Linked DNA regions of Drosophila melanogaster. The protein of the gene in region 1 interacts with the protein of each later gene in a pairwise test. Each region holds a gene or a part of one and is shown on either strand. Other genes may lie near its edges.

Region 1 (4,591 bases):
GTTGATGTATTCATTGGATCCTAGGATTTGTGGCTCTGGCCCCGACGTATTGCGCGTGACTCGTTTGGGCTTGCTTCCTCCTGGGACTGGGACACAGATGCCAAGTGCGCCAATTAGCCATCGAATCACAATGGCCGGAAAAGTTGGTGTTGTGGAAACGGGTTGGCTGCACTGGCGAAGAACTGCGATTGGGGTTTCACTCTTTGGAATGAATATGGCTTCACTGTTCTGGGGATAGTAAAATGGAGATAAATAGCTCCATAATAATAATAATAATAATTGTGAAAATAATCAATTAGTTGAAATTCAATCTAGGTAGAACTGATGTTCTATTTGATACGAATAAAAGCCGATTTCAAAACAAAAGACTTAAGCAAAAAACGCGATCGCAAGGCATCTTAAGAACATTAATTCGCATAATTCGTTTTAAAACTCCTTTTGATTTAATTTATTTATTTGAACTTTAAAAGTTTGAAATTTATTTAACTATATTACATGAGTGAGTGCATGGGTATTAGATAACTCTTCCAACTTGACTCGTTGAACCCATTACTGAATATTTCCACCCCTGAAATCCGCTCAACTACGAAGGGGATGCGGCAATCCCAATTTCACACTTTGAAAACCTTTTAAGCAGCGTCACTCGAAAGGAACAGCCACAAAGCACCAACCAAAAACCCCAAAAAACATCAAATAGCTTAGCACCGAACCAAAATGAAATGAAATGTTTGGAAATTTGAAAATAATTGTTGACACTTTATTATTGTACTGGCGTCGGCAGTTGTCGTTGCTGTTGTTGTTGCCATCGTTGTTATCCCAGCGACGTAACAAGTGTCTGGCCCCGCACCTTCAGCCCCCTCCTCCTACCCTTTGACCTCTTGGCTGCACATGCGCAGGCCCAAAAAACTTCCGGTACAACAAGCAGTACAACCACAACGACAACAACAACGAGCAGTATGTAAATGGGAAAAATTTAGTTGTGTCACATTAAAAAGCAATTATCACCTTAAATTAACCGACGGAGTCGGAGTCGCATACATTGCCCATCGAAATATTCAAATTGCGCGACTCGACATTTTTTCTAATGACTTACCAAAAGGAGCGAAGGTAGGCGGGGGAGGGGCTGTCCAAATTAACTTGTTGCTATTTTCAATTGGATGCCTTCGGTTCGGTTTGTTTGGGTTCGGGAGGTTTCAAACGGTTGCGCTTTTAATTCGTTTTAAATTGTCTCGTAGCCGTAGTTTTGTTTCCGTTTTATTCGAACGGGAAAAGTGTTGGCTACTCATCATTGATACGGATTAAATCATATCTAAAATATCATTTGATTTAGTATTTATTTACTCTACAGTCACCTCTTGTAAAATATATATTTATAATTTGTCACAAAACCATGTGATGCCATATTTCCATATGCTCCCATTTCCATAGATCGCAGCCCACTGTGCCCGTCCACCGTTGAGTGCTATGTGGCCTGGACATTGACAAAACAAAATGAAAACTTTTTCTGTGTTTTGATGGAAGCATTTGTCAGCGATTTTCCAGCGCCAGACCCAAAAGCGCGCTTTAAAACATTTTGAACAATTTAATTAGAAGCACATAGGCCAGACCTCCAGCAAGCCACCCTGGCCAAATTATCATGTGCAGCAAGAGCAAAACCGTTTCCGATGTGATTTACGAGCAGCATGTGTGACATTTGTCGCCTCCACCTGTCCGCTTACATCAGCGGCAATTACGGAGAGAGAGAGAAAGAGAGAGAGATGTTGGCTCATCTACAACTGGAGCAGCTTCACCAGCAGGAGCAGGAAGAGGCTTTCTAGGAGGGCGCACCACCAGGGAAGCTTGAGCCTCTTGGCTGTGACACTTTGCAAAGGGTGGTGGGCTAGAAAGATCTCCTCGTGGAGGTAGCACTGCTGGCGTCCGAGAGTTAGTCCATTTCTGCACTCCTCTCCTTCGTTTGTTTCCATCGGCAGACCCAGCAGGAGCAAGAGAAGCCACATGGATCTGCAAGGCCCCTTGAAACCTATGAATCGTAGGTTTTCTGAAATCTATCAAATATGTTGTTGAATTTGGTTCCGCCTCCGAAAAATGCAAAGTTTGCTGTGACTTCGGGGCTCAAAAAATTCGAAGCCTGAAAAGGTGTCTATTCTGGAGCTGGGCAATTAATTAACAAAGACTGCGGTCGCGGGACTGTATACCAGCTTACCCCTTCCCACGCCTTTTGTGTGTGAGTGATATGATTTATACTCACTGGCCGGCGCCACATCGAAAATCCTCGGCATCGGTCGGCATCTTTCATGTCTTGAAACTGGGAACTTAGAGCTCAGAACTGGAACCTCGGTGCCCAGAATCCAGAATCCAGTATCCAGAACCCAGAACTCAACTTAATTCCCTGTGTGCGTGAGTGTTTTGCGGACGTTGCTAAGGATGATGCTGATGATGATGAGAGGCGGCTGCGCTTTTAATTCCCGGCCTCGTCTACCTCAGCTTCAGCGTCCTGGGCTCAGTTTTCGGAAATTCTGCATCGACTTTTCACACTTCCTTCGGCTACGCTCCAATTTCAATCGGAACACCCCCGCTGACTGGACGGCATTAAAAAGAGATTTGCCCGGCTCGCTAATTATATTTTGGTACACGGCGAAAACACCTTCCGAGCCCTTAGCCCGGAAACCCTTGACCTTACCCCTACCTGGGTGGGTGGTGGTGTGGCTAATGAGGTGCCCTGCAGGAAGGAAGGATTAGGCGGGTCGCAACGGAACGGATTTAACTAATCCAAGGCCATTGCCTAGCGCCGGCTCAAAGTTCGTCTCAATTGGGCTCGCAATCGGATTCGCACTCGCAGTCGGATGCAGATTCGGATACGGGTTCGCCCGTCGAGAACTGGGCCACCGAGTTTATGGCCCGATGCAAATGAGGCCCAAGCTCACAAGCCAAGCCAGCTAACGGTGCAGCTTCTGCTGCTATGCTACTCTCCTACTCGGCTGCTTCAACTGCGACTCTGTCCTCCAATGTTGCACTGCAGCACAGCAGCAACGCCCCCTGGTAGATCGCTCCGGGAGTCCGAGTCAGCCGCATCTATCAAACTGCGAGGAGGGGCAGATACCCACTCCGCGCCACAGATGAGAGCCATGTTCCCGGGTATTATAAAGTGCATTGTGGCTACCAGTTAAGTGCATGTTGCTGGCCAGAGGGTTCGGCAGACGGAGCCCAGCCCCCGACTTCTTCTCCGACTTCATTTCGACTGCGGCATCGGTAGGTGTGTAAACTATGTTGCTGCTGCCCCATGTTGCCGTTGCTGATGCTGTTGCTGCATGCCGCATGTTGCCGCTGCCGAGCAGTCAGCAGAGCCAACCCATCAAAAGCCAAAACGCCACGGGGTAGGACCTTTTTTTTTTAGCTTTTTTTAAGCCAGTTATTTTGATACCCTGAAACCGAGGTATATGCCTTTTTATGAGAAGCGTGTACAATATAACCGAAATACACAAATATGGTTGCAATATATATTTCTTTGATTGTTTAATCTTCTGAATTTTCAATTTGGCAGATTATGGGCTTCGAACTATGTCGATAGAGAGTAGTAAGAACTTCGGCACTCCATGGCTGGACTCCTACTTTTGTCTTAGCTGTTTGGAGCGCTTTTTGCAGCCGATCGGAGTAACCGAGTGGGCGCGTTTACGTACAACATCCACCACAAACAGCCACATCCCCATCCACGTCCGCGTTCACCTGACGCCGCCACTGCTGCTGCAGTAGAACAGCTTCTGTTTAGCATGGAAAACAGCAAACTGGGCTGGCTTTCTTCCATTCATGCAGTTGGGCCAGGCTGGCAACAAGTTGCCAAGCTATAATTACTGCATCCATGTCGCTGCAAGTTGCTACTTCATAAATTAGCATGCTGCTGCTGCTGCCGCTGCTGCTGCATGCCGCTTGTGCCTCCTGCTGCTCCAGTCAGCGGCCAGCTCTTTGTCATTGCCAGAACTTAGGCTAGAAATGGCGCGTTTTCCAGGGAAACAGATCGAGGCCCAAAAGCACAAATCTCAAATCACAAATCACATGGCCAGCATTAGGCTTCCGTGTGTAGTCTCCTGAAAAATAAGATGGAGCTGGAGTGCAGAGACAGCAAAGCAGCCCCAGACGAGGTCGTTCCCCGCCTCCGGGCAGGCTCCTCATCCTCATCCTTTTTCTGTTTCTGTTTCCCTTGAATTCCTTGAAACAACGGAACGCCCCATGGCCCGCTCATCCTCACCCTCATCACCACCCCATCCCCATCACCATCCGCATCCTCCTGCTCTTCTTAGGCCCTGCCCCGCGCCACGCTGACCCACAAACAATTTGTTTTTGCATTTCGCTGAAGGGGACGCGGACCTTGGACCATGATATGGCTACAGCCCCAATCCGAGTTCGTAAAAAGAGCGAGAAAAACTGGCTCTCGAAATCATTATCACTGCGATCTGGGCCCCTTGCGTGTCTCTGGCTGTGCAACTCGTCTCAAGGTTTCGATTTCAGGAAATCAATCTTGTTTTGGCCAAATACTCGTACCACCTCGGAACTTGGCCAGCTGAAATATACGAAAAGCTGGCCGCCCTGGCAATCA
Region 2 (3,191 bases), on another chromosome or scaffold:
AACTGCGCCGGCGGCGTCGGAGCCTCTGTCAAGGCTGTGAATGCCAGCTACTCGGACGCTGGTCTGTTCGGTTTTGTGGTCTCCGCCGACTCCAAGGACATTGGCAAGACCGTGGAGTTCCTGGTGCGCGGCCTGAAGTCGGCTTCGGTGTCTGATAAGGATGTGGCCAGAGGCAAGGCTCTTCTGAAGGCGCGCATCATCTCGCGCTACTCGTCGGACGGTGGTCTAATTAAGGAGATCGGTCGCCAGGCGGCGCTCACCCGGAACGTGCTGGAGGCGGACGCCCTGCTTGGCGCAATCGATGGCATCTCGCAGTCGCAGGTCCAGGAGGCGGCCAAGAAGGTGGGCAGCTCCAAGCTGGCCGTCGGCGCCATCGGGCACCTGGCGAACGTGCCCTACGCCTCCGATTTGGCTTAAGTATATAAACACCTGTACATCTGTTAACCGTAATGTAACGACTAAATAAACCTGATCAAGGGGATCGATCCGCGAACGTAAATACTTATAAATCCTACTTTAATTGGTGTATACATAAATAATCAAACTTTGGGTTAACAGATAGACATTCCACGCAGGTCATAGTATAAAGTAGTATAACAACTGGAATGGATCGTGGGAGCTAGACGAAGACCACGACAATGATGGCGACGAACAAGGCTATGATGACGAGCCAGTAGCCCCAGGTACTGTCCCGCCGGTTAACCTGTCCAATGCTCTGTGTTTCCCGCTGCACACCCGTTTCCACACGGTCCATGGCATTGGCCAAGTTGTCAAGGATATCTACAAGGAGGTAGGGATTAGCATTGGTAGTGCAGGGACTGGGGAATACCCACTGTTCTGGTCCTCCACCTCGTTGCCCAGCTGTGTGGCCAGTTGGCGCTGTCTGGACAATGTGGCTGATAGAACCTCGAGTCCTTCGTTCTGCTGCGCCAGCATCTCGGTCTTTTTCTGCTTCAGAGCCTCCACATCCAAGGCGGTATTCCGCGAGGAATTGCTGTGACCTGGGCCGAGATCCTGATCCTGCCAAGCAGAACCGGATGCGGCCGGGACATTGGAGCGGCTACTGTTTGCGAACTTCTCGCGGATCTCGCGCAGCTGCGAAGTAAGTCTATCCCAGTCGATGCGCCGCTGTTGCAGCTCCTCCTCCGGGCTCGTCTCCCAGGTGATGGCGTTGTCCAGCACCACCTTGAGGTGCTTCATGTCCTTGGCCAGCTGCTCTATTCCCGTCTGAATGCTGCTTGTCAGTTGGACGAACTGGCTCGTCCTCGGATTGAGCTGCTGCCGCTGGTTGAGGTATACCAGCAGCTGATGCCGCAGTCGCTCGCAGCCCTCGTACTCGATGTCCCAGGAATCGTGATCCACCAGCGCCATTTCTCTGCTTTTGCTATGAGTAATTATCAAAAGCAGAAAACTACGCCTCCAGCAATCCAAGTAACAAAAACAAAAACAATAGCCGAGCAACAGCTGATGGCTGGTAGCAAAATAAGTAAGCGCGAGTACGGTCACATTGCCAGTAAGAAGGGATTCGGAAATAATCTTCAATGTTTGAACTGATTTAGATATTATACTTATGTAGCTGTAGATAAGCTGGAAAAATGCACCGCGATTAATCCCCAATCCTTTATCAATTCACCTCGCAGGTGCGTTGCTAGTGTGAACTATTTACTAAATAATTTAAGCTGGTCACTCGAAAATCGTCACTATGATGTGAAGTATGATTATTCGGCCCGAATTCCTGAAACTACTCACAAAAATTAAGAAATGCTTTCCAAATTGCTTCCAATTCTGATTCTGCAAGGTGGCCGAAGAACGTATTCCTTGTGCTCGAGAGATTACACCATCCCCACAAGTAACCACACCCTAACTGGTCAAATTTTAAAGGTTCCAAACCTAAATTCGCAGGAAAGATGTTTTGGTACGCACATTGTTGTCCGGCATAAGAGAGGTCGGTTCTACACCGACATTGGCGAGCTCCGGGCTGTATTGGTATACTCCATCAGGGACGGTGTGATGACCATCAACAGCACCAACGTCCCGGAGGAACTGGGCGGACATGGCATTGGGAAGCTACTGGCCAAGTCGGCACTGGACTACGCACTGTTGAATGGGCACTTCATTATTATAAGGTGTCGGTTTGTCCAGCACTACATCGACAAGTATGAGCCGCAATACGCCAAGTACATATTAAATTAGGGAACCGAAAACAAAACTTCAAAATTGTCGACACAATCAAACTGAACACAAATAAATCCCCCCACTATGCACATAGACACCATACATATAAACGTATATTTGCGTTCAGATTTGTTGAATTCCTTCGGTTTTTGAAAAATTACATGAAAATAATTTGAATTGGCTTATTTTTAAATTATTTCAAAATTTCTAAACCGAAAGGTAACAGATTATATTTAATGACGAAATTACGGTTTCTTATATAAGCTATTTTGTTATGCTTCTAAAAACAAATGTTTTATTACCTCTTTAAAATATGTAAACTAGTTTTCACAATATATTTTAAAAAATTGTTAATTTCCATATATACCACCTTGCATTGTGTGACCACCCTGAAATTAGCAAAGGGCGTTGCCAGACTCCGGCCACCCACGCACATACGATAGTTGGGACCGGCCCGGCGCGGTGGACAAAGTCACGGTATCGATATGGTGACACGATTCACCCACACATGCATGCATTGGGCTACGATGGCTGTGACACAAGGTGTGAAGAAATCACTGGGTTACAATGAGCGCTATTTATAAATATTTTGGAAGTATGCTGCAGGATTTCATAAAAGTAGTATGCAATTGGTATGCTTGATTCATATTGTTTAAAATTTGCTGTGCTACGTCAATTTTGTACTTGAAAAATATGGAGTCGTGACATGCCGCCAAAGCGGTGACTTGTCACGGTGAAATAATCGCGACTAGTAGCAGGTACGCAACTATCGCCCATCGCTAGCTCACACGTACACACAATTTATTTAGTCGTGATTTCTATTTTATTTGTTTCAAATTACAACCAAGAAGGAAACAAATCGCGACCAAAATCCGCTGGCCACAATGCCGAGTGCCTGTACAAGCGTGCGCGAGCATTCCCACTAATCGGAAGCGAGCGCATCCGCCGTTTTGAGCGTTTTCCGCGCGGGAGTGGGAAATCGAAAAGGCAAGGCAAGCCATCGGTCCGCTGCAAAA
Region 3 (2,802 bases), on another chromosome or scaffold:
TTGCGTTGAACACATCGGTTCTAAATGTGGCTGTTGTGCCATTAGTTACTCTTCTGTCTCTGTCTCGGTTTGAATCTCCATCTCGCTCTCTTCTTTTTAATTTTCCCGACTTGGTGCGCGGCAGTTGTAATAGAAGTTTTCCGGCTTCATGCACCTCCGCCCTTGCACCACCCCCTTTCGGCGACCATTGTGGTGGATTCAGTACACTCTTAAAAATAAGATGTTTAATAAACATATAGCAGGTGGAAGCCGAATGGAGCGATTTGCACCAAAACAAAGTAATAAAAACAAAATTTTCTTATTTTTTGCTTATTATTTCCTATCGAAATCTATATACCCCAAGCTGTGATTATTAGATTAAGCGTCTGCGATGAGGTAGCAAAATTCTAGCACTGCATTAACAGAGCTGATTTCTGATCAGGGGTTGAGGACCTTTAGCCTGATCTTTCTTCTTGTTAATTTGTTTTGCTTATTTTGGAGCTGATTAGCTATATACCGATTAAAAGCTTTTCAATTGCCACTAAAAAAAAAGTATAAGAAACGGCGAAGACTTTTTAGCGCTGCATTTAAATTCACAAGCTTAACAGTATTCTTTTAGGCTGAATTTGCTCTCAAAAAAAGTACAATTGGTTTGGAAAATTTTAAATGTTTTTGAATGTAACCAAACACAGCGAAAAAAAATACAAATAATATTTCTTTAAAAAAAAGGATGTAAAGAAATAAACTAGTCTTATTAGTTTAATAAATACAATTTTTTAAGACACATAATTTCTATGTTTTTATAGACGGTACTTGTGGAGTAATTGAGTATACCAAATTCTTTAAAAAGTCTGTGGGAGTTCGAAGAAGGCGTTGCCGAACCTTTACCTATACAGAATATATATATTCTTCACCAGCATCACCAGCGGAGTCTATCTAGCCGTATTCGTTTGGCCATCTGTCTGTAAGCCTGTCTGTATGAACTGAATGAGATTCAGACCTCTAAATAGTTCCAATTCTTTCAGAACCTGTGCCAACAACACTCTAGATTCTTCATTGATTTCATCTAGTCTTGTCTTGTAAATATCTTAGTTCTTCTATTAGCTAAGAAATGGGTATCTGATAATCGAGGAATGCGACTATAGTGGTCTAACCTGTTAAGCGCTAAAATTCAAAGACATAACATAATTATACGTATGTATAAAAAATTAATCCATGATTACAAGGATTTCATACTTAATTATCCCTCCTCATTTCGAAAGTCTAATGATAACCCAGAAAAGCAAACAAGAACATTTGTTGCCGTAACACGTTTGTGATGCGTGAAAACGGAACATAAATGATCTAAAGTAATCTCAAACAACGTCTTCTTCTAAGTCGCCCTTAGTTTTTCTTAGCAACTGTTGCGGACTTATTAGATTAGGCTCGACTTCCCAGATAAGATTGATGTTGAAGGGTTCCCCCCGTTGAGCATAGGCATTGATACAGTGCTCAAATATTAATTTCCCAGACGTCTGGAAATTTTTTTCGTATTTTTGTTGGGTTAATTGTACTTGATTTTGTCAGAACATTGATAATACTTCGGCGCGTGACGACATGATGAGATTGCAGGAGAGTATAAAAGATCGGAGGCGTCCAAAAATTTTATTCACATTAGCAAGACTAACCGAAGTATCAGCACCATGAAGTTTTTGGTACGTTTTACATATACGCTTCAAAGAAAAACCTTTAAGAACTAAGTTGATTTTAATATTGTTACAGATCCTCTTCATTGCCCTATTCGCCGCGGCCGCTGCCCTACCTCAGTTTGGATTCGGCGGTGGATTCGGTGATCAGCAGCAGCAGCAGCAAGGAGGATTTGGAGGTGGATTTGGTGATCAGCAGCAGCAGCAAGGAGGATTTGGCGGTGGATTCGGAGGTGGATTCGGTGATCAGCAGCAGCAGCAGCAAGGAGGATTTGGAGGTGGATTCGGAGGTGGATTCGGTGATCAGCAGCAGCAACAGCAACAAGGCTGGTAAAAACCAATTCATAGCACCGTCTTAACGCAGATACCTCAATAAAAATATGACACCTTTATGATAAAAAAACAATTGGAATTTTTTACTTTATCGTTCTCGAAAATTTATGAGTTTTATGAAAATAAATTTATATTTATTATTCATTTATATTTATTAAATAGTGCCCAGAAATAAATACACTTAACATAAGGGACAACGGGAAATATCTTCTCTTTCAGATGTTCAAATGGTTTTACTTAAAACATTGTAAATATAAATAAAAGCCAAAATATAAAAGCCATATTATAAATATAAGCCAAATTTTCACAAAAATTTTGTTTTTCTTTGAAATATGTAACGCAACTAAAAAGCGGATTCAACATGATTGAAAAAACAGATACAATTTCGAGTATCCTAATCAATGGCCTCCTCAGCAGCCACCCTTTTGTGCTCCTCGATCTGCACCTTGTCCAGATCGACTCCATCTTTTTTGGCTGCCCGTATCTCGCCTTCCCCCTCCGATCCGTCTAGCTGGTTGGTCTGCCAAACTCCTGTCCACGGCAGTGACATCACTGACATGACCTTGACCAGACTGCTATGGTTTTCCTGGTCTAGATCACTCTCCCCATTTCCTTCCCGTATTCGTCTGTCTCCATCCGGCAACTGCAACTCCTCGCAGCACAGCATGGAAATCAGCAAGTGCTCAACGAAGAGGGTTCGCCGCAGCCTTTGAGATTCGTCCGTATCGTGGCACTGCACTTTTTGCTGTGCAATCCACTGAAGTAGAACATATCTGTCGTCGTCGTGTTCGAATGGCCCCCCGGA

What was found. Proteins that work in one complex are often made in the same cells at the same time.
Region 2: the proteins of CG42851 (region 1) and Syx8 interact in a two-hybrid assay, tested with the Drosophila melanogaster proteins (one large-scale study listed by BioGRID).
Region 3: the proteins of CG42851 (region 1) and CG31775 interact in a two-hybrid assay, tested with the Drosophila melanogaster proteins (one large-scale study listed by BioGRID).

The regions. Positions count from the first base shown.
Region 1 is NT_033778.4:24,806,835-24,811,425, reverse strand, and holds CG42851 (uncharacterized protein), read right to left. Parts: upstream 2,102-4,591; 5' UTR 1,965-2,101; coding exon 1,770-1,964; 3' UTR 1,319-1,769; downstream 1-1,318.
Region 2 is NT_037436.4:16,585,608-16,588,798, forward strand, and holds Syx8 (syntaxin 8), read right to left. Parts: upstream 1,451-3,191; 5' UTR 1,372-1,450; coding exon 834-1,371; intron 781-833; coding exon 620-780; 3' UTR 501-619; downstream 1-500. Other genes in the region: UQCR-C2 (Ubiquinol-cytochrome c reductase core protein 2), read left to right, coding at 1-417; CG32163 (uncharacterized protein), read left to right, coding at 1,762-2,193.
Region 3 is NT_033779.5:14,736,590-14,739,391, reverse strand, and holds CG31775 (uncharacterized protein), read left to right. Parts: upstream 1-1,622; 5' UTR 1,623-1,661; coding exon 1,662-1,673; intron 1,674-1,740; coding exon 1,741-1,998; 3' UTR 1,999-2,302; downstream 2,303-2,802. Other genes in the region: CG31835 (uncharacterized protein), read right to left, coding at 2,392-2,802.